2 linked regions of the Coturnix japonica genome follow. The protein of the gene in region 1 purifies or fractionates together with the protein of each later gene. This does not show direct contact. Links are inferred from orthologs where the notes say so. Each region holds a gene or a part of one and is shown on either strand. Other genes may lie near its edges. The genes, in order: EEF1A2 and EEF1B2.

Evidence for each region.
Region 2: the proteins of EEF1A2 (region 1) and EEF1B2 purify together in Homo sapiens (co-immunoprecipitation; 4 studies listed by BioGRID and IntAct, counting the BioPlex papers as one, with this or other methods). This does not show direct contact. The link is inferred for Coturnix japonica from reciprocal best matches to the Homo sapiens genes EEF1A2 and EEF1B2.

What each region holds. Positions count from the first base shown.
Region 1 is NC_029535.1:8,077,172-8,094,805, reverse strand, and holds EEF1A2 (elongation factor 1-alpha 2), read left to right. Parts: upstream 1-222; 5' UTR 223-914; intron 915-2,248; 5' UTR 2,249-2,318; coding exon 2,319-2,462; intron 2,463-5,980; coding exon 5,981-6,160; intron 6,161-6,897; coding exon 6,898-7,194; intron 7,195-9,682; coding exon 9,683-9,833; intron 9,834-10,826; coding exon 10,827-11,083; intron 11,084-11,631; coding exon 11,632-11,866; intron 11,867-12,213; coding exon 12,214-12,341; 3' UTR 12,342-12,563; downstream 12,564-17,634. UniProt on the Homo sapiens protein: Translation elongation factor that catalyzes the GTP-dependent binding of aminoacyl-tRNA (aa-tRNA) to the A-site of ribosomes during the elongation phase of protein synthesis.
Region 2 is NC_029522.1:11,926,546-11,940,442, forward strand, and holds EEF1B2 (elongation factor 1-beta), read left to right. Parts: upstream 1-3,097; 5' UTR 3,098-3,203; coding exon 3,204-3,283; intron 3,284-3,437; coding exon 3,438-3,560; intron 3,561-4,729; coding exon 4,730-4,853; intron 4,854-5,070; exon of another isoform or gene 5,071-5,152; intron 5,153-5,222; coding exon 5,223-5,289; intron 5,290-5,654; exon of another isoform or gene 5,655-5,788; intron 5,789-6,025; coding exon 6,026-6,151; intron 6,152-6,551; coding exon 6,552-6,706; 3' UTR 6,707-8,398; downstream 8,399-13,897. Other genes in the region: NDUFS1 (NADH-ubiquinone oxidoreductase 75 kDa subunit, mitochondrial), read right to left, coding at 349-456, 2,027-2,118, 2,274-2,337. UniProt on the Homo sapiens protein: Catalytic subunit of the guanine nucleotide exchange factor (GEF) (eEF1B subcomplex) of the eukaryotic elongation factor 1 complex (eEF1).

The sequences.
Region 1 (17,634 bases):
CACCTCCCTAATCTGTCCATTTGCTCCATCCTTTCCTATCCCACTTTCATCTTCCATCCCTATAGCTCTCCTGGCTTTCCATCTTTCATCCCTTCACCTTCCTCCCATTCCACTGTCTCCTTCTTACCCATTCTCCATCCTTCCATCCCTCCATATTCCACTGTTCCATCTCTCCTGTTCCTCCTATCCCTCTATTCCTCTTATCCTTCCATATCTGCCACCCCTTCATTTCTCTCATCCCTCCATCTTCCTCCCATCTCCTTACCTCCTACTCCTCCATCTCTTCCGTTTCTCTCTTTCCTCTTTTCCTCTGGTTGTTCAATTTCTCCCTCCCTCCATCTTCCTCTTCTCTTTACCTCTCATCCTTCCCCATCTGCATTCTCCTCTCTCCATCTTTCCTCCATTTCTCCTATCCTTCCACTCTTCTTAACCCTCTATTTCTCTCTCCCTCCATTTCTTCCCATCCCTCCATCTCCCACCCTTCTACCTCTCCCACCCAGCTGTCTACTGCTCCTCCATCACTCCTCCCTTCCTCCTATCCTTCTATTCCCCCTATTCCTCCCATCCCTTTACCTCCAGTCTTTACATCTTCCTCTACTCCAGCTTTCCCCCGTTTCTCCCATCCCTCCATTTTCCTCTCATCCCTTTATCCCCCATCTCCTCTCCATCTCCCACCTCTTCCAAACACCTTCCATCCCCAATTCTCCCCCTCCGTCTCTCCCTGCTCTCTCCTCCTCCTTCTCTTCCTCCTCCTCCCCCCGGCTCGCCTCCTCCTCCCCCGCCCGGTACCGCATTGCCGTAGTGCGGGGGGGCCGCTGCATTGCGCTGCCGCCGTCAATAGGTGGGCCCCTCCCGGGGAGATAAAGCCGCCGGAGCCCAAGCTGGCAGCCTCTGCCGCCCCGACCGCCGCTCCGGTAAGAGCTCCATTTCCCCCACCCCCGGGATGGGGCTGCTTGAACGGGGGGGGAACCTGCTGGAGGAGGGGGTTTGCTGGGGTGGGGTACGATGCGTGTACATGGGGTGCTGTTGGTATCGAGGATGGGGGGGGGGGGACCCCTGGGATGGAGGAGGGATGGGGTTGGGCCGTTTCTTCAGTCCGCAGGTGGGAATGCAGCCTGTATCCTGAAAGCTCGAGGAAAGGAAAAGGATAACTTTGAAAAGAAAAGAGAAAAAGTGAAAAGAAATGAAAATTAATTAGAAACGGGGAGGGGGTGGGGGGGGCAGGGGAATATCTAATAAAATTAAGAATAAAGAAAGGGGGAGGGGTGGGGGGAGTCGGGAGAAATGAAAAAGAAAAAAAGGAGAAAAAAAAGAGAAAAAAAAAATCAATTACTGAAAATAAAGGAATCCCCGCTTCCCCCTCGCAGAAGGGAGCGCAGCCGACTCCGGGCACCTGCGCTGGGCTGCGCCATGGCCGGATCCTGCGCTCGTTCAAGGGCAGGGAGGAAGGCCGGGGGCAGAGGGGCTATCACCGCCCCCCCGAATCGCTGTGAGAGCAGGAAGCTGCCCCCGACCTGTTTTGCTTCTATGGGCAGCTTCATAAAATTGGATTTTATTAGACGTCAAATTAAAGCTCCTAATTGTGCAGTGCTTCTGTAGCGGCTGTGGCACCATGGTAACCCTGGGAGATGCCAGAACAGATCTATTGATTTTCATTTTAAGCCTCCTCCCTCTGTTTCATCCAGATTCAGGGCAGCAAAATACCACAAAATCCCCCACAGCGGGCTCAGCTATGCTGCCCTGCCCCTCTCTTTGCAGCCCTGCTCAGGGCAGAGTGAGAGGGCTATTTTTGTCCATCCTGTTATTTGGGCATCATGTTATCACCCAAGAGGTGAAGGCACCCAGTGGGGACAGGGACGGGCACCCATGGCTCCTCCCAGGGTGCCCACGAAATGGAGGATTTGGAAATGGAATAGAGTTTGGAAAGACCTAGAAGGCAGCAGTGAAGAGCAATTGAAAGGTTGGGTTTTTTTTTTTCCCCATAGAGGAAGGGCACCTTCGAGGTACCGATGACGTAGCCTTGGGAGCTGGGGGTCTCCAGGAAGGCAGATGATAAAATCATGGTATCTTGCTGAGAGCTGGAAGCTGGACGTGGTGACCAGAAATAGCCTGGCCAGTCTCCTCCGGGGGTGAGCTGGATCTGTCCCAGCATGAGCAGAGCCATCGAGCCATGGCCACGCACCCCTGTCTATGCTGGCAGTGCTGTCGTGGAGGCTGTGCTGACGCTGCCTTTTTAATTCTCTTACAGCCTCTCCATATACACAGCTGCATCCCCAGCGCTCCCCCCACCGCCCGCCCTCCACACGTAGCCCACCAACATGGGGAAGGAAAAGACTCACATCAACATTGTCGTCATCGGCCACGTCGATTCCGGCAAGTCCACCACCACCGGGCACCTCATCTACAAATGCGGGGGCATTGACAAAAGGACCATTGAGAAATTCGAGAAGGAGGCTGCTGAGGTGAGGAGAGTGTCCCCTGCCATGTCCCCTGCTCCGTGCTGATGTCCCATGGGCAATACGCCCCTTGTGATGCCATCCTTGTACCTTTCTCCCTTTGTTCCTATCACTTTATTCCTTCTGCATCCCAAGTCTTCCCAGCTCCTGTGGCCCATTGGTCCATGGGGTGCTTACCCCCTAGTGCTGATCCCCACCTGGGGATTTAGAAGATGGATTGTGGTACCAGCAGTAATGGCGAGGATTCTGAGAGAGCCACAGTGCTACAGGGCGTGAAATTCCCACTAAATCTTGTGCATGAGGAGGAAAACCTGATAAATCCCTTCCTGCCCTGTGCATGACCATGAATTTCACCCTGTAACATCCCCTTCCAGCATCATGGGGCAGCCAGCATCAGCTGGAGTGCAGATTTGATCCACTTGGCTAAAGAACCATCCCCTTAATGGGGGTTGATTGGTAGCTCTCTGTATAGGAAAGCTGGCATGGAGCATAAGCATTTAAGTTGAATTCTTTTGCTGAGCCTCTCTAATGGTGCCATTTGAAGCAATGTCATAGTGCAGGCATTTCTCGGGCACTCATGCTGTAAAGCACCACCCAGCACCTATAATGTGGCATAGATCAAAGAGGAATAAACATTCTGGGGAACAGAGGAGAACATTGTGAATGGGAAGAGCTGGGAAATAAGTGATGGTAAATTCTAGAGAGGTGGGTGAGCCAGGAGCAGGCTGGTTGTGTTACCCATGGGGTGGGTCTGGTCAGAAGAGATCTCACCATCATCGTGTCATGAACCTTCCATAAATCTTTAATGCAGGCATCTCTTAATTTAGCTGGACAAAACCTCTTATTTAAAAGAAAAGAGAGAGAGGAAAAATGAAAAAGAAGCTTTCAGAGCTGCCATTCCTGATAGCACATCTTGCTGTCTGCCTCTTTGAACCCTTTGAATGTGCCAATAGCATCTGAGCTACGCCACCCCTTTTCCTGCCTCATTGTCAGCCTTCTCTTGCAGCCCTTAAGAGCAGAGCCTCTTCCTTAGAATAAAATCCTCTCTCTTTGCTTCGTGTTAAAAGGATAGAATCACAGAATCATAGCTGCTATCCCTTGCTATATTTCCAGCCCCTTACCTTTAGATCAGGTATGGCACGATGAGGTTATCACGGACGCAATTGCAGCTGCATTAATTGAGCAGACATTTCCCCTGACTTGCTAGAATATGCGGGGACTGGAGCTGCTATTAATAGCCTATTGACTGAGCTTACCGACTCCATTTTCTGATGCAGGGCTGGGGAAGGGTTTTCTTCCATTAGGTGGCATTCTCAGGAAATGGAGGCCTGTGTGCACCCAAAAAAAGCTATCAGAAAACACGGTCCGATATTTTTAATTATTATTATTTTCTTTTTCCTTAGAAGAAAGATCTTATTTTTCTTTATGGCTGGGAGGGTAGAAATAACAGCATCTCCGAGAGAGGAATTGCTCTCTTTATTTTATTTATTTTATTTTAAAGAAAATAAACCAAACCCAACAGTATTTGTGATCTCCGAATAGGAAGCTGCCCCTTTGCTGGGGTCTGGTGGAGGAAATGCAGGCAGTTCTGGCACCAAACAGTGAAGGCATTGTGCAATGCTAGATGATGCAGTGGGGTTTTTTTTCTACAATAGCTCTGGGTAACTGAATACACCCCGTGGAAGGAGGGGAGCTGTTTGCTATATAAAGGATCTCACTTGTCTTTAGGTTATGTCCAATGGCATGTTCTGTTGGGGGGGGGGGGAGTGGTACACAGAATGGACTGCTTTTGGTTGGGTATGGATCCCTGCAGTTCCTATGAGAAAATCCTGGGTTTTAGGATCAGCTGTGAGTCCCAACAACCAGCTGCACCTGGGGCCTATTCTGTGCCTCAGCTACCCCACCCCATAGCATAGTGCTGATGGCTGAAAGGCTTTGGGGTTCTCTAGCTGAGCTCCTGCCTGAGCGCTCCTCATTATTAATGCACTGCACAAAATAAATCCCTTTTTCCTTAACCCTCATCTTGGCTTGGGCAGTAAATTAGCATGCTCTAATGATGCCCTAGATACCAGCAAGGGAGGGAGTGGGTGTGCATGCTGGAAAGGGTTAACTTCCCAGCTCCCATTCTGCATCTTTTGCCATATTGGAGCAAAGATGTGATTCTGGATTTTTCCACCCCCTGCTCCTGCAGGCACACAGCTCAGGGCTGCCCACTGGGGCTGCAGCATCACCCAGCACTCCCTCTGAGGAAGGGGAGGTTTGCTCTGGCTTTAGGATTTTGGCTGTAATCCCCTCCCCGAGCAAGCTGCAAAGTCATCGCAGCGCTCAGCTGTTACATAAAGGGGCTGGCACTGCTAATTCCTCGTGCTGCACAGGCACAGGGCTGCGATTCCATCCCGGTACAGGCGGGGTGCATTGGGTCCAGTGCTGCAGCATCCTCCCCTGTGAGCAGCACTGGAGCGCTCATCTCCTGCCAGCAAGAGGCATTTCCCTCCGGCCTGGTGATCTATAGTGGCCCATTATGAATTTTATGCACTGATGCTCTAGAAGAAATCGCTGCTGCAGACATGGGATTGTGGTACAGCACCTCCGTCCTTGCGCGGCAGTTACAGCACATTACGTCATCAGCAGATGACCTATTTCTCTAGCTGAATTCTATTTTCTACCTTAGAAAACTTGCCTCTCCAGCCAAGATCTGGTGATTGATGCATGTTAACCCTCTGGTCCGCTTGGGCTGTCCTGGGGCACAGTGGAGAAGGGCTGAGCTTGTCCTCCCCTATCGGTGCAGGATCCCTGTTTAGAGCTTGGGGAAGGTTTGGCTCTGCTTAGTGGCATCAAAGTCACCGACCCAAAGGAAGCGGCATCATGTTTTTACCAGGGCATGTGCTTTATTGCAGGGCAGAGAGATTTGCAGTGGCTCATCTCACCCAGCGTGATTTTCTACCCGACAATGTTGGCTGGGATTTTGGCCATTTGGCAGTGACAGTTGGTCTGACTGCAGCTCACAGTCACTTTTCGTGCAGATTCGCACACTCTGTGGCAAAAATCAATCACGTTTCTGTTCAGCTCCTAGCAACCCTCTTGCATTTCATTTTCTTTTAACCCATTCCCTTGCTACATCCTATTAGTTTGGGGTTCCTCGCTTAGCAATGGCTTTTCCTTCTGTCCAACTGTCTCGTGTTCACTTAGAAGATTAAAATACAACAGCAAGAAGCTTTCCAGCACTGCTGGGTAATTCTGTATCAATGTAATTTCACAGCAGCCCTGCAGGGTTGTGGCATCTCATGGAGGAGACATTGCTGGTCTCCAGCTTCTTATCCAGTCCCACCACAGATCCTCTCCATAGCTCTGCTTCCAGTCTCTTCTCCATCTTCCTGGGGAATGTGTTTAGAACCATATCTCTTTTCCTCTGTGTGAACTGACATATAGATTATGTCTGCCATTGACTTCAGGGGGTTTGCAATGTGACCCTTGGCCTTCATGGCTATGGGAGATTGACCAACTCTGACCTTTGTCTTGGCCAGATGGGGAAGGGGTCCTTCAAATACGCCTGGGTGCTGGACAAGCTGAAGGCTGAGCGTGAGCGTGGTATCACCATTGACATCTCACTGTGGAAATTCGAGACCACCAAGTACTACATCACCATCATCGACGCTCCTGGACACAGAGACTTCATTAAGAACATGATCACAGGCACATCCCAGGTGAGAACGGGAGGCCAGGAGCTGCAGGATGTGGGAGGCTGAGGTGGCATCAGTGAGTGGTGGTGAGCAGGGTCCATGCAAGAGGTGGCATTAGGTCCCTTTCTGGATGCTGAGGAAAGGGTTTATTTGGGCAAAAAGGAGTGCTTTCTCTACAGCACTTCCCTTGCTTGTATGAGCTGGGGATGAGTATGGACTCAGAATCAACAGGATGTTGTGAGTGTCTCCAGGGTAAGGTAGCTTCCCCCTGCCATACTGTACTGCAGGGCATTTCTGCATCCCAGAGCCATTCATGGGCACTGGGTGAGCCTTGCTGCATGCCCCTGGAGACCAGCTTTAGCCAAATGCAGATAGCTTCTGTCATTGACACCAAGGACAGGATTAAGATGTGTGAGTTCCTCCATCAACCATGGAGACTGCTGAAAAGACTTCAGGTGGGGTTTGAGGTGAGGCTTTGACCCTGCATCCATGGGATGTTAAGATGAGGTCCTGATTAGATCCATACAACTTAGAAAGATCCATCTTGTAGTCCAACGTGTTGCAAAAAGCATGCACAGTTGGCAAGAATAAAATAACACGGGTCAGGGTTGAGGTAGATCAGCAGGGTTTGGGGTAGCAGCTGGCAAGGCATCTGCCTAAGGCATGTTTGTTCTGATTAATGTTCCCTTTGGGACATGCTCAGAGCTCCCAGGAGCAGCATTCTCAGGGACAGCAGCAGCTCATCATCTCTCTCCTCCCAGGCTGATTGTGCTGTACTGATTGTTGCTGCTGGTGTTGGTGAGTTCGAGGCCGGTATTTCCAAGAACGGGCAGACCCGCGAGCACGCTCTTCTGGCCTACACCCTGGGTGTGAAACAGCTGATCGTTGGTGTTAACAAGATGGATTCCACTGAGCCCGCTTACAGTGAGAAACGCTATGATGAGATTGTCAAGGAGGTCAGCGCCTACATCAAGAAGATCGGCTACAACCCAGCCACAGTTCCCTTCGTGCCCATCTCGGGCTGGCACGGGGATAACATGCTGGAGCCATCCCCCAATGTAAGTGTGTGATGTGTCGTGTTGTTCCCCCACTTTAAGTGTCTGTATCCAGGCTGGCTTTGGTGCTGTGAAAGCCACAGACATGCTTCATGCACCTATCATGTGCAACTGCCTGCTTTGCTGGTGCAGATGTTTGTCATGTCACTGTGATTGTGCTGGGATGAATGGGCACAGAGTGCATGCTTCTTGTACCACGACCAGACATCCCAGTGGCTCTCCATGAGCCTCATATGATCAGTAGGGCTGTGCTCCTGGGATCTAATTTAACAATTTTGCTTCGTCAGACCTGTGTTGATGTTAGAGCCATCGACAGCAATTGTTATGCTCAGCAGGAACAGCATGAGTGGTTTTAGGGCACTGTTTTTCCAGGCAAACAACACGATCTGGTTGCAGGGTTGGAGCAGTTCTCACCGCACAGCCGGGCTAACATGTGCTGCATATTGGATGCTTCTTTGCATTGGTGCTGTATCAGCTGCACCCATGTACCACTGCTGGGGCTCCAATTTTTAAGGCAATTTTTGCATGGGAAGGCACTGTGATTTCCTTGAGCATCCATTTAGGGTTTCTCCTTGGCCAGTTGATTCCAAATTGGCCTCTCCCTTTGTGTATCAGTGCTGATGATGCAACGATAGGGTGCTATTTCTTCATATGACGGCAGTGGAGAAAGAAGAGATTGAGGAGGCATGGGGGTTCTTTGTCAGAACAGATGCCAATAGCAGTTGTTACATCTCTTTTTGGAGAAAAAGCTCCCCCAGCTTCAGTCTTCTAAAGACTAAAGAATGTCTTGTGACCTTGAGCAAGTTGCTCAGTGCTGAAACACAGTGGTACCTTGGGAAAGCAACTGGAAACTCAACGTTTCAGGGAGATTTAGGACTTCACTTGTGGATTTGGGGTCAGCATTCAGAAAGAAGGGAGGCAACGTGTCCAAGTACAGCCAAGGGAGGTTGGGATTGAGAGCCTGAGTTAGAGGAGTGCTGCAATGCAGCCTCACACTGACCTGGCTTGTAGCTCACAGCCTTGCACAGGGAAGACAGTTCATGAGAAGCTTGGGGATAGCTTGGAACAAGTGGTTTTTTCGGAGATTCCTTTCCCCTGTACAGTGGAGCTGGGATAAGGTCAGCCGTGGTCACACCAAGCCCAGCTGCATAGTTCCTGGGTGCCTCCAAATCAGGCTCCAAATGTCAGCAGCTGCTGGGCAGGGAAGATGATCCTGAACAATTTGCTATTAATAGGCTGCAGAGGGGAGGCACAGGGTAGGATGGGCCTCACTGACTTCGTTCCTCAGATGGGAGGCTGGGAGAATAAGGGTGGAAGGCTGTGGGGCTGGGGGTCCAGGGAAGCAAAGGATGCTAAAAGGATGCATGGACATTCTGTATCCCATGATGTGGTCCTCAGGGTCCCCTCCCACATCTGTGGGGACAGAGTCCACCTCCCCACATTGCACTGCTTGTAGGAAAGCTTGGGTGGGAATCCAGTGCAAATCTTTCTCTTCTTAATCCTCACCCCCCAAAAAAGCTCCTATTATTCTCACTCACATATTTCCAGCTGAGTTTCACTCAGCAAGAGGCAGCCAGGTGACTTGTCTATCCAACAGGGGACAGACGGCCAAGGTTGGGGTTGGAACTAGATGATCTTCAAGGTCCCCTCCAACCTAAGCCATTCTGTGATTCTATGCTTGTGCAGTGGTGTTGCAGCTGCATCCCATCAGGCTGTGTGGACATGGGGCTGGAGCCAGCCCTACATGGGAGGATGTTGTCCATGATGTAGTCTGTGATGGAAGATGAGCATGTATGGGGTACAGAGTAGGCAAAACTGGAGAAACTGCTTTGTAAAATGGAGTGCAATGGGAATTAAAGCTCAGCTGTTAATGATGGGAGCTTGAGCTTGCAGCATCCACGGCTGACAACACAGGGTTAACACACAACCTATCAGACCGTGTTACGTCAGACCCTGTTTCTGCCATGGAGCTGTGGAATAGTTATGGTTCTTGGGAAATGGATTTGGGGGCATACACGAGCAAGGTTTTGATGTGTAATGTTGTGCACTGGGCGACAAGTAGCACCCAAGGATCCAATGCTGGGCAGAATAATCTGTGACAAACCATTCTGCCTCTCAGCAGCTGTGAGGAAACTCAGTGGCTCTGCAGTCCATGTGCATAGGGCTGAATACATGTGGCTGGTGTGGGAAGGCAAAACCTTGTCATTAGGAATGGAGGCTGCAGGTTTGCAAGGTTTAACCAGTTTCTTCTGCTCATGGATGATTCACATCTTTCTAGAAGAGAAGGGAGAATGGGGATGGAGCTGGATGAAGGGATGCAGGTGAATATGCAGAGATGCTAGAATGCAAAGACCTTACCAAACCCAAATAAATCCAGGCTGCAGCTAAACCAGCTCCACACATTTTGTCCTAATGGGACACCTCAGTGGGACCATCTCAGGGTGTTGAGGACAGGCACACTCAGTGCAAACTGTTGCTATTCTGTTTGCAGATGCCTTGGTTCAAAGGCTGGAAGGTGGAGCGCAAGGAAGGCAACGCGAGCGGGGTGTCCCTCCTGGAGGCCCTGGACACCATCCTGCCCCCCACCCGCCCCACAGACAAACCCCTGCGCCTGCCCCTTCAGGATGTCTACAAGATTGGAGGTGGGCTACCATCAGTGTGACTCTTTTTAACTGTAGCCTTCCTTCCACAGGGATTTGGGGATGATGTTTCCAGGCACGGGGAAGCTGGAGGGATTGGACTTATTGAACTGCAATTAAAACTGGGTGGAGACCCCATGTGAGACTTTGGGTTGGAGGCAGACGTGTCCAGTTGCCCAGAGACCTGAGATGATAGCACTGAGCTCTTCTCAGTGAACATGATGTCAAAATGGCTGCGGATTTGGGTGTCCCAGAGGTCACGGCTGGCAGAACCAGTTGGAGACCAGCCAGGAATGAGATTTTGCTTGGTTGTGGTCATTGGTGCTCCCAAATGCTGGTGTCCATCAGCAGCACCTTCATGTGCCCAGCTGCACCACGGGACCAGCCTTTTAGGGAACATGGACAGTGACGTGGGCACGTCTCAGGGCTTTAAATATCCCTTCGCTCTCTGTCCTGCTGGCAGCACTGGGCAGCCCTGCAGAGCCATTTCCAGTCCTTTCCATACTTTCCAAAGAACACGTGCATTGCAGAAATCAGCCATGTTGAGTGTTGCTCCCTTGCTTTTAGGAAGCATTTTAATGCAGGCTTTTGTTTGCAACAGAGATGAGGGATGGTGGGCAGCTCTGCATCCTCCTCCACCCCAGCTGGGGGAAAGACAGGGTTTTGCCAAGGGATTAGGCAGGTCCTTAGGAAGCAGAGACACTATGGGAAGGGTGGAAGTGAAGGCAATAGAGTTGGTGTGGAATAGTGGATGGATCCCACCAGCTTCTTTTCCAGGTTTTTTTCTCATAATGCTTCTTCACCTTGATCTAAAGGTGCATTTTCCACAAATCTCCCATTGACACAAGGTGTAGAATGTCCCATTCATCCAAATAGCCATCCTGTCCCCTCATGCAGTGAGGATGATGAGTCAATTGAAAGCCATTGGAGATGCCCTGCTGCCCATCACATGCTTCGTGGGTGACGTTCTGCTCTGATCTCTCCTTGTCCTTGCAGGAATTGGCACAGTTCCTGTGGGCCGAGTGGAGACCGGCATCCTGCGACCTGGTATGGTGGTCACCTTTGCACCTGTGAACATCACCACTGAAGTGAAGTCGGTGGAGATGCACCACGAGGCACTGAGCGAGGCCCTGCCTGGAGACAACGTTGGCTTCAACGTGAAGAATGTCTCTGTCAAGGACATCCGCCGTGGGAATGTCTGTGGGGACAGCAAGTCAGACCCGCCGCAGGAGGCAGCACAGTTCACGTCTCAGGTCAGCTGATTAGAGTTCTATTCTGTTCCATTCCACTTTTGCTCTGCTTCCACTCCATTCCATTCCACTCTACTCTATACCCTTCCACTCCACTCCATTCCATTTTGTCCCCAACATCCAGCAGCTCACAGCCTTGCACAGCTGACACTGAGGAGATAAAACCTAGGGGAGCAGAATACCCACCAGGGAAAGATGCACATTCTAGAGGTTGCCTGGGGTTTAAGCCTTGGGTTTGCAATTTGCACACTGGTGCATGTGAAAATGGTTGCTCCCTCTCCCAAATGCAGCTGGCTCTGGTGGAGAGCAGGACTAGGTAATAACTCACAGTGAGGTACCTGCACCCATGTCCTTCTGGGTGCTGAATAAATAAATAATAGCTTAAGTAACACTTTAAACAAAAGAAGGATTCTGCCATGAAAGCCAATTAGCTCTTCTCTGTGTGTGTAGCAGGAGATGGCATTGATTTCCAAACCTTGCAGGTCCTTGCTGGCACCGAGCTATGCAAGACACCATAGCCGAGTCCCTTTGGATCTTGTTGTGTCCCATAGGTGATCATCCTGAACCACCCTGGGCAGATCAGTGCTGGATACTCACCTGTCATCGACTGCCACACCGCACACATCGCCTGCAAGTTCGCTGAGCTGAAGGAGAAGATCGACCGACGCTCTGGCAAGAAGCTGGAGGATGGCCCCAAGTTCCTGAAATCTGGAGACGCTGCCATCGTGGATATGATTCCTGGCAAACCCATGTGTGTGGAGAGCTTCTCCCAGTACCCACCCCTTGGTAAGGGAATGGCTCCTGCGTTGTGTCCCATGGAAGAGCATGGAGGCTGCTTGGGTGCAGACCTCACGCTGGTCATACTGAACCTCCCACTGATCAGATGGGGGGCAGAGGGAGGTGAATGTGTTCCATTGCTGCTCCATCTGCAAAATCTGATGCATGAGCTGGGTTAGGGTGGGTGAGACAGGCTATCTCCTGGGCTGGGTTTTCCCTCTGGGAATCACTGCAACCCAACAGTGGCTATGCAGGAGTGTTTCTCAGCTTCCTGACACAAAACTGATCAGGGGAAGAATCAGAACCTTTCAGGGGCTGGCACAGTCATGTCACTCACATCCTCCTCCATTCCCCAGGCCGCTTTGCTGTCCGTGACATGCGGCAGACCGTGGCTGTGGGCGTCATCAAGAACGTGGAGAAGAAGAGTGGCGGGGCTGGCAAAGTCACCAAGTCTGCCCAGAAGGCCCAGAAAGCTGGGAAATGAATTGTGGGCTCCCAGTGCGTAGCGCAGAAACCATCCCTGACACCAGGACGCTGCCACCGTCTCCCCCCGGCGCATGTGTGCACATCAGCTTGTAAGAGTTTATATGTCAACGACTGGATGCTCACCATTAAGGTCCAGTGGAAATTCTTTAAAAGGAAAAGCATGTTCCAGCGTTTGTGAGGCTTCATGTTAATTTTACCAATAAAACTGGTACAACATCCACAGTGGGAAAAAAGAAAATAATAACAAACAAAACAAACCAACCAACAACAACCAAACCAAACCAACCAACCCCAAAGGTGTGGAGCTCTGTGTGTGTGTGTGTCATTGAGAGGGGCTGGTTTCTTGGGGTCTGTGTGGGAGAGATGTTGGGATGGCCATAGCCAGGGATGGGAGCATCCATGGGCACCCAACACCAGCCATTCCCTGGCTCTCACCAGGTTTATGGGCTCATTTCATTGACATAAAGCAGGGACTGCTCTTGCAGTGGAGGTTTTGATATTCTCCTTAACCTGCTCAACTCTCTAATATCAATTAACAGGGCCCTTAATTATTATACTTTCCATTCTGAATAAGCTGGAGTTAACCCCTTAATGTTATTCCACTTAAAGGGAGAAAACAGCAACCCCATGCGTCCTTGAAAAGCTAGCGATATCACTTTTATACTATTTAATAATGTTGGGAGAAGTGTCCAAAGATTTCCTTCCCCCACCTGCAGCAGATCCCCCAAAAGCCTTTCTCACCCAAAAGAAGCCATAAGCAGAGGGCAGAGGTGCCCAATGGCTGCCCAGAGCCCCAGAATTCAAGGTGTCCACCCAGGATTGTGTCCTGGTCCCACTGCAAAAGTGTAGAGCAGAAGGTTTACCCACAGAGCACAGGATACCTGAACAACAGAGACTGCACCTGGGGGGAGCTTAAGACTGACCAAAGGGTGGGATGTGATTTAGTGGCCATGGTGGGGATGGGTTGGTGGTTGGACTGAATGACCTTAGAGGTCTTTTCAACCTTTATGATTCTATGATGCTGAGTGTGAAGGTAGAGGAGGTGTGAGGGGCTGCTCGCACTGTGCTGTAGTGCTCTAGGGGCATCTCCAAGGGTTGTTCCTTGAAGGTGGGGCTGGCAGCACACCAGGGCATCATCCTGTGCTTCTAAAGCAGTACTTAGGGGAAGTAGCATCCACCTGGCAGAGGAAGCAGGGTGAAGGACGGCACTGTGCCAGCTCCTTCCCAGGAGGACCCCAGAGGCAGAAGGATCATTACTGTTTATGTTGCAGGAGCATCTCGTTAATAACAGATGCTCTGCAGTGCTGCGTGCCCCAGGCAGAGCCCCAAGTCACCACAATCCTGTGCCAGCTCACCGTGCTGCCTTTCCCAAAACTGCACCCGCAGAGCACCAAGGTTCCACTTTGTACCCACTGCTGTTTCCAAGCAGGATGGCAGAACCTCACCCGATGCACAGCTTTCCCCCATCCTTTAGCAGTGGGGACAGGAGCTCCCATGGGGTTGTCCCTGCTGTGCTGTGCCTCCAGCTCTCCTGTCCCCAACAGTAGCTGGTTCTGGAGCAGTGGGGAGCTTGGGGTCAGGCAAGAGACGTAATCAAACACAAAGTCCAAACCTGGTCCTCTATAGCTATTTTAAAAGCAAAAACAAGCCTGACAAAACCATGGGTATGTTTCCATAGAAATATAGCAGGGGAGCTGTGAAGATGCTCTGGGAGTGATGCACAAGCAGTGCAGTAATTAATGGTGTAGCTGCATAAAGGGAAAATTGAAAACCTTGAGGGTTTAACTCAGATTAGCTCATGGCTCACAGCAGGTTCGAGATTGCAGCTCTACTTCTGTGCAGTTGGTACCCTGGATAAACTGTAAGGTTTGAAAGAAGATATGGGGCCTGAAGGGAGATGCCTGGTTTGGGAGGTTTGGGCTTTGCAGAGAGCCAAAATAAACCAAAATGTTCTGATGTAGGCCCATTTCAAAGCAGAAGATTGAAAAATCAGGCATGCCAAACTTCTGGGGGTCTTGACTCAGAGCAGAACGAAGCCATACCCTGCCACCATCCAAACCTCAGGTACAAAGACTCATCATGGACCTGGTCAATCACTGCTGTGCAAATCACTGCCCAACCCCATGAGGCAAGGGGGATGGTGCACTTATTCTGGGCTGGGACTGACCCATTTTGGGCTTCTATCAAAACAAGAAGCAGCCCAACATGAACAGGGCCACAGATGGTTTTCAGCAAGCCCTGCAGCAAACAGAAGCTGATTGGTGAGCCATCAGCACCGTGCATAAAGCAGGCAGGTGTGGTGCTGCCTGTGTCAGGTGGTGATGATGATGAGGTTACAGGGCTGTGCTGAGGAAATGCATTTTAAAACACTGACTTCCCCTTCCTGCTGTGCTCAGGTGTGCTGGGACCTCACTGAAAGCTCAGATATTCTTTTTTCCTATCTACCCATTTTTATTTCATTTTTAAATGGTGGCGTTTCCCATCCCTGCCCTCCTTGCTTCCCCTCAGTACCAGCCTCAGCAATGCCATCTCGTGGTAACAGACACGAAATCCTTCTGCAGAGATAATTAGGGACGGGAGATGCAAACCAATGATGGCCCTTCTGCTGCAAAGCCCTGCCTGACAGCAAATCCGCAGCAAGAGCAGGGAGCTGCAAAGTGCTTATTGCTGTTTCTCTGGGGACTGGAGTTTGCAAACACAATTGTGTTACCCAAAACTTAAAGCTCAAAGGGGAAACAACAGTGACTGGAGGTTGCAGGTAAGTCAGAGAGCACCAGGGCTGGCTCTCCCATAGTGCAGCCCATCAGGTGTTTGAGAACCCACTGGGCTGGCTGTGTGCTGTTAATTATTTAAGTGAGTTTCATTAAGCTTCTGGAGCTGATTGGCTGACTCAGCAGGCATTTGGGCTGCTCTAAAATATTGATGAGGCAGCTGCAAGACTGCAAGTGGAACCCATGTTGTAGATGCTGAGCTGGGTGAATTCTAGCTGCCTTTCCATACTTGGCAGTGGGTTCAAGCAGCAGCTATGGTTTACCTGCAGGTTAAGCACAGTACCAGGGCACTGCTGGCCTACAGGCTGACCTTCCATCCCATTCCTTTTCCTTTAGAAGCCAAGTTATGCTTCCAGCATCCCCAGCAGCCATCGCTGGTCCTGCCATTGCTGACCCATCCCTGGTAGATGTGGGAATGATGTAGGTGCAGCTGGAATTCTGCAGCTGCTCTGCTCCTGGGCCTATGTCTCTAGAACTTTCTCCTCATTTCCTTTAACCACCTCAATCTGCATCCTCCTCCCACTGCATTTGGAGCTGCACTTTTAGCGTGAGCCCGGGCTGCTTTTGCAGATGGGGTGGCACAGAGTTCTGCAACGTGTCCTGTCCTTCTCTCAGCCTGTGCTCTCACTGCATATGCAAATATTGCTGACCTGAAGCAGAAGCTCAAGCTGCAGCACAGCCCAGGGCTGAGCTCTTTCCATGCACCCACCTGCCTTCGGTGATCCCCCCTCAAACTCTCTGAAACCATGCAGCCAAAACTCATTGCTTCACACAGAGATGCTGCAGCACCTTCAGATTATTTGTTTCAGCTTCATTCACAAACTGTCCTTCCATGTACCAGCCTGCCTGCAAATTTAGGCTGGCCTGTTTTCTTAGTCTAAATTATATCCAATCTCCCCTTGTCTGGCACTATTTTCATGCCTTCTATCTGCTGAATGCTCTTTGTAGCGCTGGCCAGAAGAGCACTTAGGTTTGATGAACCTGGAAGCAGCCAGCCTGCAGGACAGGGTATGCCAGGGTCATCTGTAAGAAGGGCAAAAAGAGGAGGATGAGCCCCAGCTACCAGCACGGCTGCAGGTTGATGAGTCTCCCCAGCTCTGCATGCTGTCAGCACACACAGGGAGATGCTGAGTGAGACATTCTGTATTCACAGCCTGGTGCCCAGAGGACAGGAACATCCTTTGGACCGGAGAGCACAGGATGAAGTTGCAAGAACACAGCAGGGACTGCATGTAAATAAGGCTGGGAGTCAGGAAAAGCCGTGCTGCAAATGCAGCATCAGCTACATCCAGAGGAAAGCCCCACAGAGGAAAAGCTCTCAAGCAGCAGGACCAAAGGGGTCCAATATCCTATGGGTTTGTTATGGAAAAGCGTGGCTGAATTTTCTGATGCCTAAATGGGTTTGTGGCTGGGTTGCCATCTCCATCACCAGAGAGACTTCAGGATTTGTATCCTCTTTGGTTCCATATCCTCTCCCAGCCCCCATGCCCCTTTCCATCCCCACAGCAGCCCACCAAGGTGGGGCAGAGCCCAGAAAGTCCCCTCCTCTCTTGCCTCAGTACCATTTGGAGCCTATTTATTTTTGCTGGATGTGTTGTTTTCCTTCTTTCATCGCTGCAGAACAATCTACAAGAGGAATCCAGCATGCGCCTGTACCGCTCATCTGAGATGAGACAGATGTGTCAGCCTTGTTAGCTATTTCAGTATGGGCTTTTTCTTTCTGATGACAACCTCCAGGTCCTAAATATTCATGCAGGTTTCAATTCAGCTTTGAAGTTGGTGGGAGGCAGGTGCTGGAATGGGAACAAAGCACTTCACGGGGCCCTGGGGGAGTGGTCCCAGGTTCAGTTACAGTCCTTGTGGGTGCTTCAGTCAGTCCTGAGCTGGACCCCAAGTTTATTGGATCTGGTAGGGCTGGTTAGTTCTGTTGTTTGTTATTAAGCTGTAAGTTGCAAAGAATGGTGTGTTGGTTTAGAGAAACTGGAAGGTGCTGCCCATGGGAACCCTTCTAAGCCATGTCTGTAAGGGGCTGCCCCACACAGGGCATGGTGGCTCCATGGAGGGGAGATGGGGTCCTGGCACTGTCTCATCCCAAGGGATAAGTGCTGGAGCACGGAGGTGGCAGCAATTTGATTTGTGTGTCTTTGGTTCTCATGGGTGCAGAAGGAGGCAAAAAGCCAAGGAGGTTGGGAAGGATTATGTGAGAGATGTAGACGTGAGGAATGACAGAGAGCTAAATTTACAGAGTCTAGGAAAAGGAAGACTCAGGGGCAACGTGGTCACAGGCTATAAATACCTTCAAGGTAACAATATAAATGAAGAAAGGGAATTGTGTGTCGTCTCAAAGGAGGGTAGGGCAAGAGCCAGAACTGGAGGCAGATGAAGGAGATGCATAGAGTGGAGGGGAGGGAGGCCTGGCTGGGGAGATTTGCTAGGAGAGAGGGCTGGGGGGCAAGTAGGGCCATGAGATGCTGGGGGAAATGAGGTGATCGCATCCCTAAGTGACCAACTTGCTTCCTT
Region 2 (13,897 bases), on another chromosome or scaffold:
GCTGGTGTGAGCCGGAGAGTCTCACCTTGTGTCATGGTTTTGCACATATAAACCTATCTGACAATACACAGCTATCAAATGCTCATCTCCAGAAACAAGATAATCATAAGAAATTGAGTGACGGTTCACTAGCCTAAAAGTAGTGAATCACTGCAGCCCAGCATAACTTGGTCCTAATACATATATAACACAGAGATAAGCTTAGAAGTGGGAAAAGGGAAGATCTGCTTGAAATGGCTTAATTATAGGAATTTCTGTGCTTAACATTGGGCAAAACAAGCATTTACAGTATAAACTAGGCTCAAAGTACAGCAGAAAACTGTACTTCTTATGGAACATACACAGCACCTTCGGAGCCTTCTCTATTTCCACAAGGCACATCCTACAGTTTCCAGCAACAGAGAGACGGTCATGGTAACAGAAGCGTGGGATCTGAATCCCAACCTTCTCACAGGCCTACAAAGAATAAGGAACAAAGGGAAATTAAATACAGTTACATCATTCAGTAACACACAGCACATACAGCCAAGGGGTTTTTCAAAGAACAGCAGCTTTAGTGCTTTTGACCTTTCAATCTGACTAAGCTCTTTGCTATTGTAGGAATAAGCTTTAAAAACTGTAAGCAAAGAGTAATATGGAAGGTTACCAGTATGATTATTTCTCAACAGAAGACCTAGCTAAGGAAACAATGTTTCAATTCCTCCTCAAAGTTTAGGGAAAACTTTTTAATAGATAGGACACCAGAAGCAAAAACAAAGTTTTAAAGGAAAAACGGACTTTTGGAGAAGTACATAAAAAAGGAAAACACCATTTTGAGCTACAAAAGCAGCAGATGATGATGCTCAGTTCAGCCATTAAACAGACAGCTGCTGCAGCTACTAGAATGCGTAACATTCGTAGCTTATGGAATTTGCCATAGCTGACAGCATTCAGAGCTGGAACTTCAACCAGAACTTATTTAAGCCTTGTGCATATTAATTCAGCTTTGTAGACTGGATTCAACACGAAATTGGAGGCACTCAAGGCCAGGCTGGACAGGGCCCGGTCAGCCCGATGTGAACACAGCAGGGGTGGAACCCGGGTGGGCATTCAGGTCCCTTCCAAACAGAATCACAGATCACAGAATGACCCGGGTTGGAAGGGACCTCAAGGATCATGTAGTTCCAACTCCCCTGCCTAGCACGGCCACCAAACACACACCTTTACTAGATCAGGTTGCCCACAGCCCTGTCCAACCTGGTCTTGAACACCTCCAAGGACGGGGCATCCACAACCTCCCTGGGCAGCCTGTTCCACTAACCACTCTCCTAGTGAACAGAACTTCCCCCCTAACATCCAACCTAAAATCTCTCCCTCTTCATTAAACTTAAAACCAATTTCCCCGTCCTGCTATTATCCGCCCTTCTCGAAAGATGTTTACTTCCCATCCTGCGGAGTAAGTTCCGCTTCAGCTATTGAAAGGCGCAATGAGGTCACCCCGCAACCCTTCTCTTCTCCAGGCTGAACCAAACCCAACTCCCTCAGGCCTCGTCCCTCGAAGGGCGCAGTGCTCCAGCCCCTGATCATTTCCTGTCACCTCCTCTGGACCCTTTCAAAATCTCCATGTCTTTTTTGTACTGACGGGCTCCACACTCTGAACACAGTACTCCAGACTGCGGCCCTCACACAAGACGCAGAGTAGGAGAGGAGCGGATCGACCTCCCTTCCGTGCTGACCACCCTCTCCGATGGCAGCCCAGGCATCCCATTTGCTTTCCGCGGCTCCCGAGCGCACATGCTGGCTCATGTTGACGTCTCTCGTCCACCAGGACCCCACGGTCTCTTCTCAGCCGAGCCTGCTCTCAGGACACTTACCCCAGCCGCTGTAAAGGTGCTGGGGTTCTTCCGACCCAAGTGCAAACCCTTACACTTTGCCGTGTTAAACCTCATTCCGTGATTTCAAGAAGAGCTTCTGCAACCGAGAGCCCGAACGCTGCAAAGCTCTGAGCCAGAGCTGCAGTAAAAGCTGGCCGTGCCGGTGCCCGCACCTGCAGCACTGTGGTTCCGGGGTCCACCAGCACGGGCTGCCCGTCCACAAACACCTCGATCTGGTTGCTGGCTGCCGTAGCGGTCGTGCGGCCTGAAAGACAGCGGAAAGCTTTTCGTAGCAAACCCTTCCCCGGCTGTTGGATGCGGTCGGGCAGAGCCCACAGCCCTCACGGTCACACAGCACCCATGTCGCTCCGGTTCCGTTCAAAGCCAGCACCCGCCCGGAGGACGCGGGCCGACACTTACCGTGCACAGCAGAGGCCGGTGCGGCCGCAGCAAGAGCCCTGCGGAGTGCGGGCAGGCGCAGCATGGTGCCCTGCGGGAGAGAAGCGGCGCGGGTGGAGCGGCTGGAACGTCCTCTCTTCAGCCTCCAAACAGGCCGCAGGGGTCACCTTGCAGGCGGCTCCCGCCGGCAGCCCCCGGCCCCTTCACGGCACTAAGACGGAAGGCGGGACGAAGGCGCCGGGCCCACGGCCGCAGCCCAGCGCCTCACCTCGCCGAGCAGCCGATCCGTTACCGGCGGGCACCGGGCGGCCGCTGCGCACAGCTCGGCCTTACCGTCCGCCTCAGCCCCTATGGCGACCGCCTCGGCTCTTTCCGCCGCTACTTCGGCAATCTCCGGGAACGAGCGGCCAGGAGAGCGCGCTCGGCAATTTTCGGAACGGGGCTGTTCGGGTTGTTCCGCTAGGATGCGCCACTCGGCGATTTCCGCCACTCGGCAATTTCCGCCACTCGGCAATTTCCGCCACTCGGCAATTTCCGCCGTTCCGCCGAGCCCTCTCGGCCACCGTCACACGCGGCGCTTCGGCCAGTTCCGCCTGCGCCGCTGCCGCTGTCATCATCCAACTCCGCAACTTCCGCTGTCGCAGCGTTGCGGGGGGAGACGATACGACCGGGGGTGTTTGTAGCAGCAGTCCGACACTGACAGGGCTCCCGAAACACACATCGCACCGTAACCCAGCTCCGCTGCCATGACGCCCCGTTTCCAGCAGGTTTTGCCCTGGATCGGCACCCAGCCTGCCGGGAACTATTTCGGCACTTCCTGGCGGAAGGATACGTGTGCGCGCGATACCGCGGAGGGTTCTGCCGCTATATAAGGCGAGCGCAGGGGTCGCTGGGCCTCTTTGCTTGGCGGCGGGCTGTGGCTGCGGTGTGGTGTTGTGCGCCGCTGCCGCCATGGGCTTTGGGGATCTAAAGTCCGCCGCCGGCCTGCGGGTCCTCAATGATTTCCTGGCCGACAAGAGCTACATCGAGGGGTGAGGGGCGGCGGGAGGGAGGAGGGCTGGGCCGGGCCGACCCGTGGTGAGGCCCGACGGGGAGCAGCGGGGCTGCCCTGGGACACACGTTGTGTAACCCTCGGGTTGGGCGCCTTGTGTTGAGCGTGGGGCTGATCTCCGCTTGTTCCCGCAGGTACGTGCCCTCCCAGGCCGACATAGCGGTGTTTGAAGCCGTCGGGGCCCCGCCTCCTGCCGAGCTGTTCCACGCTCTTCGCTGGTACAATCACATTAAGTCGTATGAAAAGCAAAAGGCCAGGTATGATTGAACCACGGAATGAACACCCGTGTGAAGTGCTGCGCCAACTGTTGGATGTTTCTGAGCTTGGAGAGAAGTGGCTTTTTGCTGGTCCTGTGTGGCTTCTGGGAACAGAAATGAGTCCAGGAGCAGAGCAGACCCGTTGGGGCGTTATGGGGCCGCTCAGAGCTGAGGAAGCTGAATTTGCCTTTGTGCAGATTCTATGGGGCTCCTGTAGAAGCTTACAAGGAATCCTGGGTCTTGTTGCTGCCTCCTACTCTGTGCTGAAAGCTGGGAATCACGTAGTGCTGACCTGCTCCATAAGGGCAGTATCAGACTTAGGAACTATGGGAGAAACCTGAAGACAATAAGGAAGGAATTTGTTCAGATTTTTAATCTCAGAAGGTGAGGCTAAATTGAAGATTGATGATGTAAAAACACTTGTAAAGAAGGGGGACTATAAAAGCAAATGCTCTCTCTTCTCTTTTTTAGTGATTTTAGTGTTTATGAAAGGTGCTGTATTGACATCCATGGTGACTGCAGGCCTCTCTGGAAAGGTACAGCACAGGTAGTGTCAGTTCTGCTGCACTGCCTCCTCTGTGTGCCTCCCTCCTGTTCTGGAGGGAGCTCCTGTGAAGTTGGGTGGCTCAGACACCGCTGCTCTCAAACCCAAATGGGATGATAAACTGAGATGATAAAGTCTCCTCAAAAGGCCCACTCTGAAAACTTAACCTAATTACTGAAAATTAGATCTAATTTTACAGTTTTTGTAACAGCAGTTTTTTAGTAACAATAGGAAATCAATAGGATTTTGGTCCCTTGTGAGCTATCCACATGTTTTCTGTTACTTTTAATTTAAACAAATGAAAATATTTTTAGGGTAAGAAATTGATAACTTCTCATACACAAAATACATTGGAGATTCCATTATGGAAGTTCTGTTATCCATTTGTCTCACAGGGCAGCAGAATAACACAAGATCCATCAGTGATTAGACAGGCAATCTTTGTAGGATTTGCTGTCGTTTCAACTGAGGTGTTTTTAGAGGCATTTTTTTGGGGAAGGTTTTCAAGTAGCAAAATTAACCCTTTTTTCTTTATCTCACTGTTTTTGCTATGAATGTACTTAAGAAGGACAATGAAGTAGTATATCTACAAATAAGTAATTTCTTAATGCCTGTTTTCCTTTAGCTTACCAGGAATAAAGAAGGCTTTGGGGAAATACGGTCCTGCTGATGTTGAGGACACAACAGGTGCAGCCACAGATAGCAAAGATGACGATGACATTGATCTTTTTGGATCTGATGATGAAGAGGTATTGGTGCTTTTTTTCTCTTTTAGTATTATTCATATGTATATATTTAAGAACCAATTGGACAGGCAAGTGTTTACCTTACTAGTTTAGGTTACTTTAATTTGTGACCTTAATAACAGATACTGTTCAGGATCTCCAGACTCCAATGTCTTTGTAGGATGTAACATACGAACTCTCCATTAGAAAGAAATACAGTGTGTTGAAATGTCTGCTGTGACTGGTTACATGATGAATAAAACAAAAATCACCATCTTTCGGCTGACAGCTGTGATGATTTGTTTTTTCCTGATAGATGCCAGTCAATCTAACAGTGCTTTAAAGATTTGGGGGGGATTGGTGCTCTTTTGTGACTTCGTATTTCTCTTTCAGGAAAGTGAAGAAGCGAAGAAACTGAGGGAAGAACGCCTGGCACAGTATGAATCAAAGAAGTCCAAAAGTATGTGTTTGAGTAACTTTGACCTTGTTATGCATTTAAACAGGATGAATAGAAATAGTGTTTCTCTATTACAGACTTACTGGAATGAAGCAGAAGTGGTTTGCTTTACTTGAGTTCTGTGAGCTTAACCTTTCCTATAGCAAATCATTGAACATTAGCATGCTTTTTGTCCTGCCTATTCTCCTTTTGTCTTACCAAAGGAGCAAGCTTTTTCACTACAAAAAGAGAACCCTAGGGTTTTCTTGAAATAAAACAGATGCAAAGTAGTATAAAACACATCTGTGTAAGAACTCCAGCAGACTGACCTAAGGAGGCCGATCAGTAGTTGGTGAGTTAAGAGAGGAAAGGCTCTTGCATGCAGGTCCCTCCACAGTTACTGGCCTGAAACTGTTCAGGACTGTAGCAGTTGCAGTATTCCCTCTGTGGAAGACAAACTGTTACGTAGTATTAAGCACCTTCTCAGATCCTCTAAGAAGGACTTTCTACGTAACAAACAATGTTAGCTTATGTTCTCTTTTCAAAGTGTTTTTCAAAAACAGGCATCTACATCTTAAACATCAGGATATATATTTTCAGACCCCTTAAAAATGCATGTTGGTACAAGAGGACTGAGTTATGAGGGGTTTTTTTGTTTTTTTTTTTTTTAAGTCGTGTGAAGTTATTTGTAAGTATATTCTTGAGTTCCTGAAAGTTTCCTAGCTGTTAATGGTGTCTTTCCTCCTTTTTTTTCCCTTAGAACCAGCTGTTGTTGCCAAATCATCGATCTTGCTTGATGTGAAACCTTGGGATGATGAGACAGACATGGCCAAATTAGAGGAGTGTGTTCGAAGCATTCAAGCAGATGGCTTGGTCTGGGGGTCTTGTAAGTAAAATTCTAAGTGGGGAAAAGGGTGATCACGTGATCTGTTGGGGTGCTGTATGAATAAGTAGCCTTAGGATTACTGTTTGTCCATCTGTGATAATGTAGGTAGCTAAAATAGTGAGTTAACTGCCATGTTACATAGAGTATGTATAGTGTGAGCTGTGCGTGTGTGGTGTTTGGTGGACTAGCACCCACTAAATAGCAAACTGATAGGTGTTCTTTGCATAATTTCACAAGAGTGATGATTTAAAAAGGGCTTAGTCAGAAAGCTGCTAGGGCAGCAGCAAGGCTAAGATTCAAAGAAACACCTTTTAGGCCAACTCCATTAATGCTATCAGCTGCTTACATCTTTCCATTTTCAAGTGAGGAGTGTGTAATGCTTTTTTGTTTTGTTTTGCAGCCAAGCTAGTACCAGTTGGTTACGGTATCAAAAAGCTTCAGATTCAGTGTGTTGTTGAAGATGATAAAGTTGGAACAGACATGTTGGAAGAAAGAATAACAGCTTTTGAAGATTACGTACAATCAATGGATGTAGCTGCTTTCAACAAGATCTGAGTCTTCATATATTTAGAATAAAAATAATTGCAAAAATTGGGCCATGTCTGTCATTAATTCAAAGTCATAGTGCAATCCAGTTTGTTAATGTAAAATTTGACTGATGGGTAAAGTAAAAGCTAATCAATTGGCTTTTAGGATTGTTCCAGCGCTGTGGTATTTAGTGCCAGAGCAAAGAGAGAGCTGACAGTTGCCATATGTCTAGGCTTAACATTTACATGGCTTTAAATATCTGAAATGCCTTTTCCTCTATTTTAAGTGGAGTTGCATCTTTGGCTACTTGTAATTAATCTGGCAGGAGAGGTGGCTTTCAGGGAGAAGCACAGGGCTGTAGCACTTTAAGAGAAATAGAAGTTTTGTATAGAAAGGATGATGAGTAACCAAATAGTTGTATGGTGGCTTTATTCTTCTGACAGCTGCAGTTCAACTGTCACTTAGGAATGAAGACAAAGATAAGGCAGTTTATAGCAATGAGGACTGCAGAGCATTGGAGATTGTGAAGTGTACTTAATGTGACTGAGACTGCCAGGGTAACTTCTCACCATCTCCTATTGTGTGAACCTGAGATTTTTTTTCTCCTAAAGTGTTTAAAAAATAGAAATAACCTCAAGTTTGGCTTTTTTTGTGTGTGTGTGGGGGGGAGAGGAGGGACGTGTCTTACTCAGTACTGCATAATTCCTGCTTCAAGACCAAGGCCTTGGTGTGCCTTGAACTGCAGGCCAGCATTGGTTTTTAACCTTGAGTAGCAGGATCGAGATCCTTGAGGTGCAATTAAGGTACAGTTCACTAGAGGGCGGTGTGTTCCTTCAAGAAGACCGAGGCATTGGAGGTCTAACGGTGCCATGTGCTTGAGTGAGGTTTAATGGGGCGCAGTGGCTACAGTTAATGCAGGCGGATAGTACTTTGTTACTCTGTTAAAATACAGCTTGCTACAGTGTCACCGTGTATCTTAGAGTGTATGTAACCTGTAACAAGACCAATAGTAGGTTTGAGATCTTAAATATAGTCTTCCCATGCTCCTACATGACTATAAAGATCTCAAACCTACTATTGATCTTGTTGTGCCTCTTTTTGAGAAGGGCTGCCAGTTGCCACTCTATTGTTAAAGCAACAGGGTTTTAAGGAGACTGTCAGAAACACTTGAGTGCAATCTGAACAAGAACAAGCATTATGAAGCAGGGAAGAACAGAATCTGCTGCAGTTGAATTTTGTTGGTTTTTTTCTCAGCAGTATCTCATAGGAAAATCAGAGTGCCTTTTTTTCATCGTAGAGCTTTGAATGAGCATTCTTCTGTCCAAGCAGTGTAGGAGAGTAATTGGGCTTTTTCAGTTATTCTATGGAAATGGAAACCAAGGATGCTGTCTGTTCTGATTAGGTATCTTCATTCCACTTGCAGAAATGAGTTGGATGGTGGCAACTATGTTGCTGATGTTGGTATGAAGGAGGTAGCAATCACCTTACAAAGTTGGTAGGCCATTTTTTTCCACAGACCAGGACTGATGTTGGCCAGATTCTTTATTATCTAGGGGAGGCTTTTGGTTAAGGTGGTGGTTAAATGTTGGCAGTGTTTTGTTGCTTTTTTTAATCCAGAGGGGTAATCCAAGCAAAGCTTTGTAGAGCATTTTCTGACGATGTACACAAGACAAAGCAAATGTAAAATCTTCTTCTTTGAAAATAAAGCTCGTTACTGTGTGTATTTGTCCTCATATACCTAATGTGCATGAAGAAAACTGAATAAACTTTAATTCCTGTGACACAAAGGTCAGGGTTTTCTTTCATCTTTCAGGAACGTCAGTATGGTGCTGTTCTGTGAACAGTCACAGCTTAGTTGCTGCTGAGAAAAGTAAATGAATGTGTTCTTCAGGGCTAATAGAAATTTATTACTCCACTTGGAGCACAGTCAGGAAAGGAAGCATTAAAACACATCATTCTTAGAAAGATGTCAAGGAACATTTTTTTTATATATATAGTGGGCTGGAGTGAAATATACTTATACTATAAGGAACCTCCCCCTCCCTTCCAAATAGTTTAAAGATATACACTGCTACAAATTATTTCAGAGTTATTTGTCCATGAAGTAACTAGGGTAAGTGTATGTTATTCCAATCCATTATGCATCTTAACTTTATAGTAGGCTTGACCTTTTGTTTTTATGACACAAGGTGACTATTTGTGTTCACCCCTTCTGAAAGCTGCCAGGACTCCTGCACCAGTGCCAACCCACAAGGCTGACCCCTGTGGATGCACCACTTGTATACGTGTAACTCTTTTCCCTCAACTAACAGGTAGGTCTTGGCAGATTGTGTTACATTCTGAAATGAACATTCTTAAATGAACATACATAGCGCAGCCTCACACAGTCTGTGCCCAATAACGTGTTACCTTTACAGAAACAAGAGTCTGGAAGCAGTTAAAAGCACTGTTTGTAATTCATCTGTAGCTGTCAGGAAACTTTGCTTTCTAGACAGAGAGGAGATGGGTAACTTGAGGCAAGCATGGCTTCTCTTTTCTTTGACCTGCCAGAAACTGTGACCAGTGCATTAAGCTGTTAATTATGAAGTTGCACTTCTAACAGTCAAGGGGAGGACTGGAAAGAAAATCCTTGAGAGGCAATAGCATTTGCAGACAGCTTTAAGGGGCTGCATGAGTAGGAAATATTGGCTTTGTTTTTTTGTTTCCAACAGAGTCACAATCAGGCATCAGTAACCGGAGTCCTTTGTTTGCACTTCAGAAGTGTCACTATGTGCTTTAGCCCATGGCCTGTAAGTTTGCGTAGTTAGCGTAAGTGCTCTTGTGTGTTATGCATGCTCCTTACAGAGGTAGTGGTACACAATTATGTAAGCTATGTTAGGCAGAACATTGCTGTTCCCAGGCTACCTTGGTTGTTATAACTTCCTTGGTCACGGCCGGGATGCCACCCAAGGCTCAGATGTCAAAGGATTTTAATTCTTGTTTACCTTTTTTCCAAAAGGCAAATGATTATTACACGCTTTCCTTCACCCCAAAAGGGAAACCAAAGGCAGTAGTTTAACCTGACAGTGTCTTCAAATGTGTAAGATAAGAGACAAGCAAAGTTCTTGTAGAGAAATTCAGACTGATTAGAAATATTGTTAAAGGATCCCCATGTTCCTTTTTTTACAGTTTTTTAAAACAAGCATTATAAAATAATAAAATAATGTCTTTGTGAAAATTTATCAGTAGAGGAAAAGTTGTACAATAGAATTGAAAAATGACACATCTATTAACTATATAAATTTAAAAAGTGCATCATGAAAACAGAGAAACCAATGGTGCTGTCTCTGCTTTCCTGTTTCATATCCCTTTCTGAAATCTGTCAGCACCTCTGGAAATTATTTTGGTATTTCAGACTAGTTTTTTTTTTGAGCAATAAGGTTATACCATTGTGTGCATTTTTAAAGCAACTGCTGTGGAAAGGCACTTTTTTTTCTATCTTTCAGATTGTTCACAGATTTTTGTTTCTACTATTTTTGTGCTTATGAAGTGTCCTTAGAAGCATTTGTGTTGTTGATTTTGAGCATGCTCAGTATAGCTGGCTAATAAGTTCACAGAAGAATTGTTAAGCTATACTGGAATTCATGGGTGCTGTAATTTTCTACATTGGTCCTCCTGCTGCTTGGTACCGTACACAGCTCGAGGGGCTCATACCCATCAGTGGCGCACAATGCGTGCAGACAGTCATAACTCCCCAGCCGCTACTGGAGATAGGCAGGCAGGCGCATTCTCTGCTTCCTGGTAGGGTGCATATGGGAGCTGGCACAGTGCATGCTCCCAGACGACAGCAATCAGGGAACTCCACTTATCTCCTCTTTTTCTTTCCCTGCAAAACAGTTCCACTGGTGGGTGACAGTTCTGCTTTTTTCTTCAGTTCTTTCAGCACAGGTGCCTCTGGGAGTTGCATTTGGCAGAGCAATGTTATGAGTGCAGGTTTTTCAGAGGTGTTTGAGCCTTGTTCTTTTTATTTTCCTGTGCCCAAGTTCACTTACGCAGTATCTCCCATGAGACAGTAAGTCCATGCTTAATTTTGCAGGCTGCTAAAGAGCTTGCTGGGAGACAGAAATTGAACACCAACTTTACAGCACGAAGAATGAGCTTCAGCAAAGGTGGCACCCTTCTAAATACAACTTCCTTCATTAGTAAGTAGTCAGATAGAAACATAGCAAGTGTTTCAGGTGAGCACTGAAATGTGGATACAGAGTGGTTTGGAAAACCTGGCTGCCTTTTCACCTTGTGAGACCTGTTGACATAACTTGCTTTTCCGGTGTGTCTACTGTTTTTATGACAGCAAATATCTATGCCTTATTTACAAGTAAGCTATTTTTGCCCTTGTGCACTGGTCTCTGAGTTCTACCATTTTCTCTGCTAAAATCATCAGAAAGCAAAGGAGACAAATTTCAGACATACAGCAAGATGCTTCTTGCTGCAGAACATGGGGCTGTAATCTTTTTGGCACTACTAAAATGAATAGGTGAAAGCCGAGCTAGCATACTCTGTACACAAAGATAGCAGATGTTTTCATCCTAGAATGCTGAAAATGGATAGCTGTAATTACACGTGTATGTACCTTTTGACTCGTAATGTCAGAGAAAGCCTTGCTTCTGCAGGAGTTGATGAGTGCGGGTAATGGCATTCTGTACTGTTTCAGTGCCTGTTCTTTCCACTTTCCTCTCTGCCAGACAGGCAGGTAGCAGGGCCAGCCTTCTGTTTTGTCTTTCTAAACAGGAAGGAGGCACAAGTCCCACAGAAAAGAAAGAAGTAATCTAGTAATTTCAGTCCTTTTACATGGAAATTACCTGCTTTCCTCTGAGCAGTAGCTTCCAGATGCAACAAAAGAATTACTTGCTCTAACTGGGTGCGCAGCCTCAAAGCCAAAGAGCTCCTCTCCTGAACTTATTGTGCAATTTCCTGCAGCCAAGAGACGTGGCGTCTCCCCATCCCTCAACATGTTGAAAAGCCTGTAGCAAAAAAGACAAGGAATGTGACGCCAGTGGTTGGCACACTCACGGAACACATAGTGTGTGCTTTGTTCTTTTTATTCAGGGCTCGTAACAAGAGGGTTTAGTACACAGCAACAGTTAATTCCAAGTACAATTAATTAAAAAAATTTAAAAATTGGGTTTTGCACTCACTTGGAAGATGGTTCAAATGGCACACACAATAAAATGTTACCGGCAGCACCCAGCTCCCCAGAGTCTTGCAGGCTCAGTCATTTACAGCGGGCTCTGCACTCCTCCACTGCATCAGCAGCGCCAAAATCAAAAGCGCAGAGTGCTTCCCTTCCAACTGCAACCCAAATGTGTGTGGGGGGGTTTTGTTTTCAGAAAAAAATACATGGACCAAAAAAAATCCATGTTAGACACTAACATTTCCAGAGAATTCATAGAAACTACTTGTCCATGCAAGTTGCAGAAGACACTTTTTCAAATGTGAAAAGAAGCACTTGGGCTTTACAAAAAAAATATCTCAGATGTCAGCACTTCAGCAAGGCGCTGTAATGGAAATGAATTTGTACACAGCTCTTCCTCATTCGTCAATAGAAGGATTTTTCTGAAGTTTCAAGAGGAACAGGAAACTTACTGCCCGTATTTCAGCGGCGTCACCACATACCTGTCCAGCAGGATGCTGGGTGTAGGCTTACCTCTGGCCAACAGGCTGCTGCTGACTTTTTACCTTCCTGTAACCCACGCTGGAGTAAGCAAAGGTCTTAATGAGTATGTTCAGAGCACCAAAGAAAACAAACAAACAGTTCCTGCATTTGCAGAAAGTTGCACAAAACACATTGCTTTTTTGAATTAATGCAGAACATCACGGTCTAAATTATTTGCAACAGCAGTTGGCAAAACTTGGCCGTGCCCAGTGTTCAGCAACCTTCCCACAGATAGGAGATGAGGGTCCCATACTCTCACAACTTGTAAAAAATCAAAAGGACTGTTGCTATGCACCGACCAGCTACTGACAAGAATAAAATTAAGTTCCCTCTTGCACTATTCTGACCTCTGTATAATACCACTGTAGCCACAAAATGTGGCTGTGCCTAATACTGAGTGATGCCAAAGGGTGGGGTAGGTGGAAAGTACATTGTAAGCACAATAAATTCTTTAACGTTGCCCCCGGTAAGCTATAATCCATCACCTACCTGCTTCGTGCTGTTTGTTTTACAACACTGCCTCTTCTAACTTAAGTATTTGCCTTTGTGAATGTGATAGTTCTGCGCATTTCCCTCTGCCACTGTTGTCAACATAAGAACTAAAGCCTCTGCATGGGCTTTGCAATGTTTCATTACATGCTACAGTCCTCAGTTAATGACTCTATGCTCAAACAAACCAGCTTGAAGCCACAGGCTACACTCTTTCCTACAGCATCCTCTAGCAGCTTCCAAAAAAGTTGTGCTGATGGATGCTGCTGGGTACCAACCAACAAAAAAGTCCTGCCTTTCCAGAAGGAAAAGGTAAATATTTTGCATTTGGTTCATAGCTGCAGCTCATTTCTAGGGGAAGAGGCGCCTTTGCAGCATCTGCCAGAAACTGGTGAAAGCTGCTGGGAAGAGCACAGCAATAGCCTGCCTTCTGGCATAGGTGCAGGACACCACAGAAGCCACAGCAGGATGCACCAGCACAACCCTCCTCAGCACAGGTGAACAGCAGGCAGGCAGGCAGCACACCCTCTGCCAGGAAAGGACCATCAGTCCTGCTACCCTTCTCTTCTCAATCTCAGCTAAAGCACCCTAAATAAAAGTGCCGCTTTGCAGAAGCTTTGCCAATGTCAACTTTGGTTCTCGGCTGTCATAAAAGTGCTGGAGAATCACACCAGGCAGGAGGCAAAGCATTCTGCCTACTTGCAAACAGTGAGGTAGGGCTACCTCGACAAGACCAGTGTTCTGGCACAAACAGAAGACAAAACACATCCTCTCAGTCACAAGAAGCACTGCACTGGGAGAGCCCTTTGGCAGCAAAGGATGTGTGAAAAGTGAACAAACCTCTGTGGCGAGTGAGCACTTGTTCTCCAGCTATTCGCCACCATCCTGCCAGATCCCACAGGGACTGTGCAGGAGCCATGGTGCAAACCAGCAGCAATCTCCAGCCACTTCAAGAACCCCCACAGCTCAGATGCTTCTCTCTATGTTCTCTGATGCCTCCAGCTAGTGGGCATGGAAGCACCATTGGGACGCTTAAG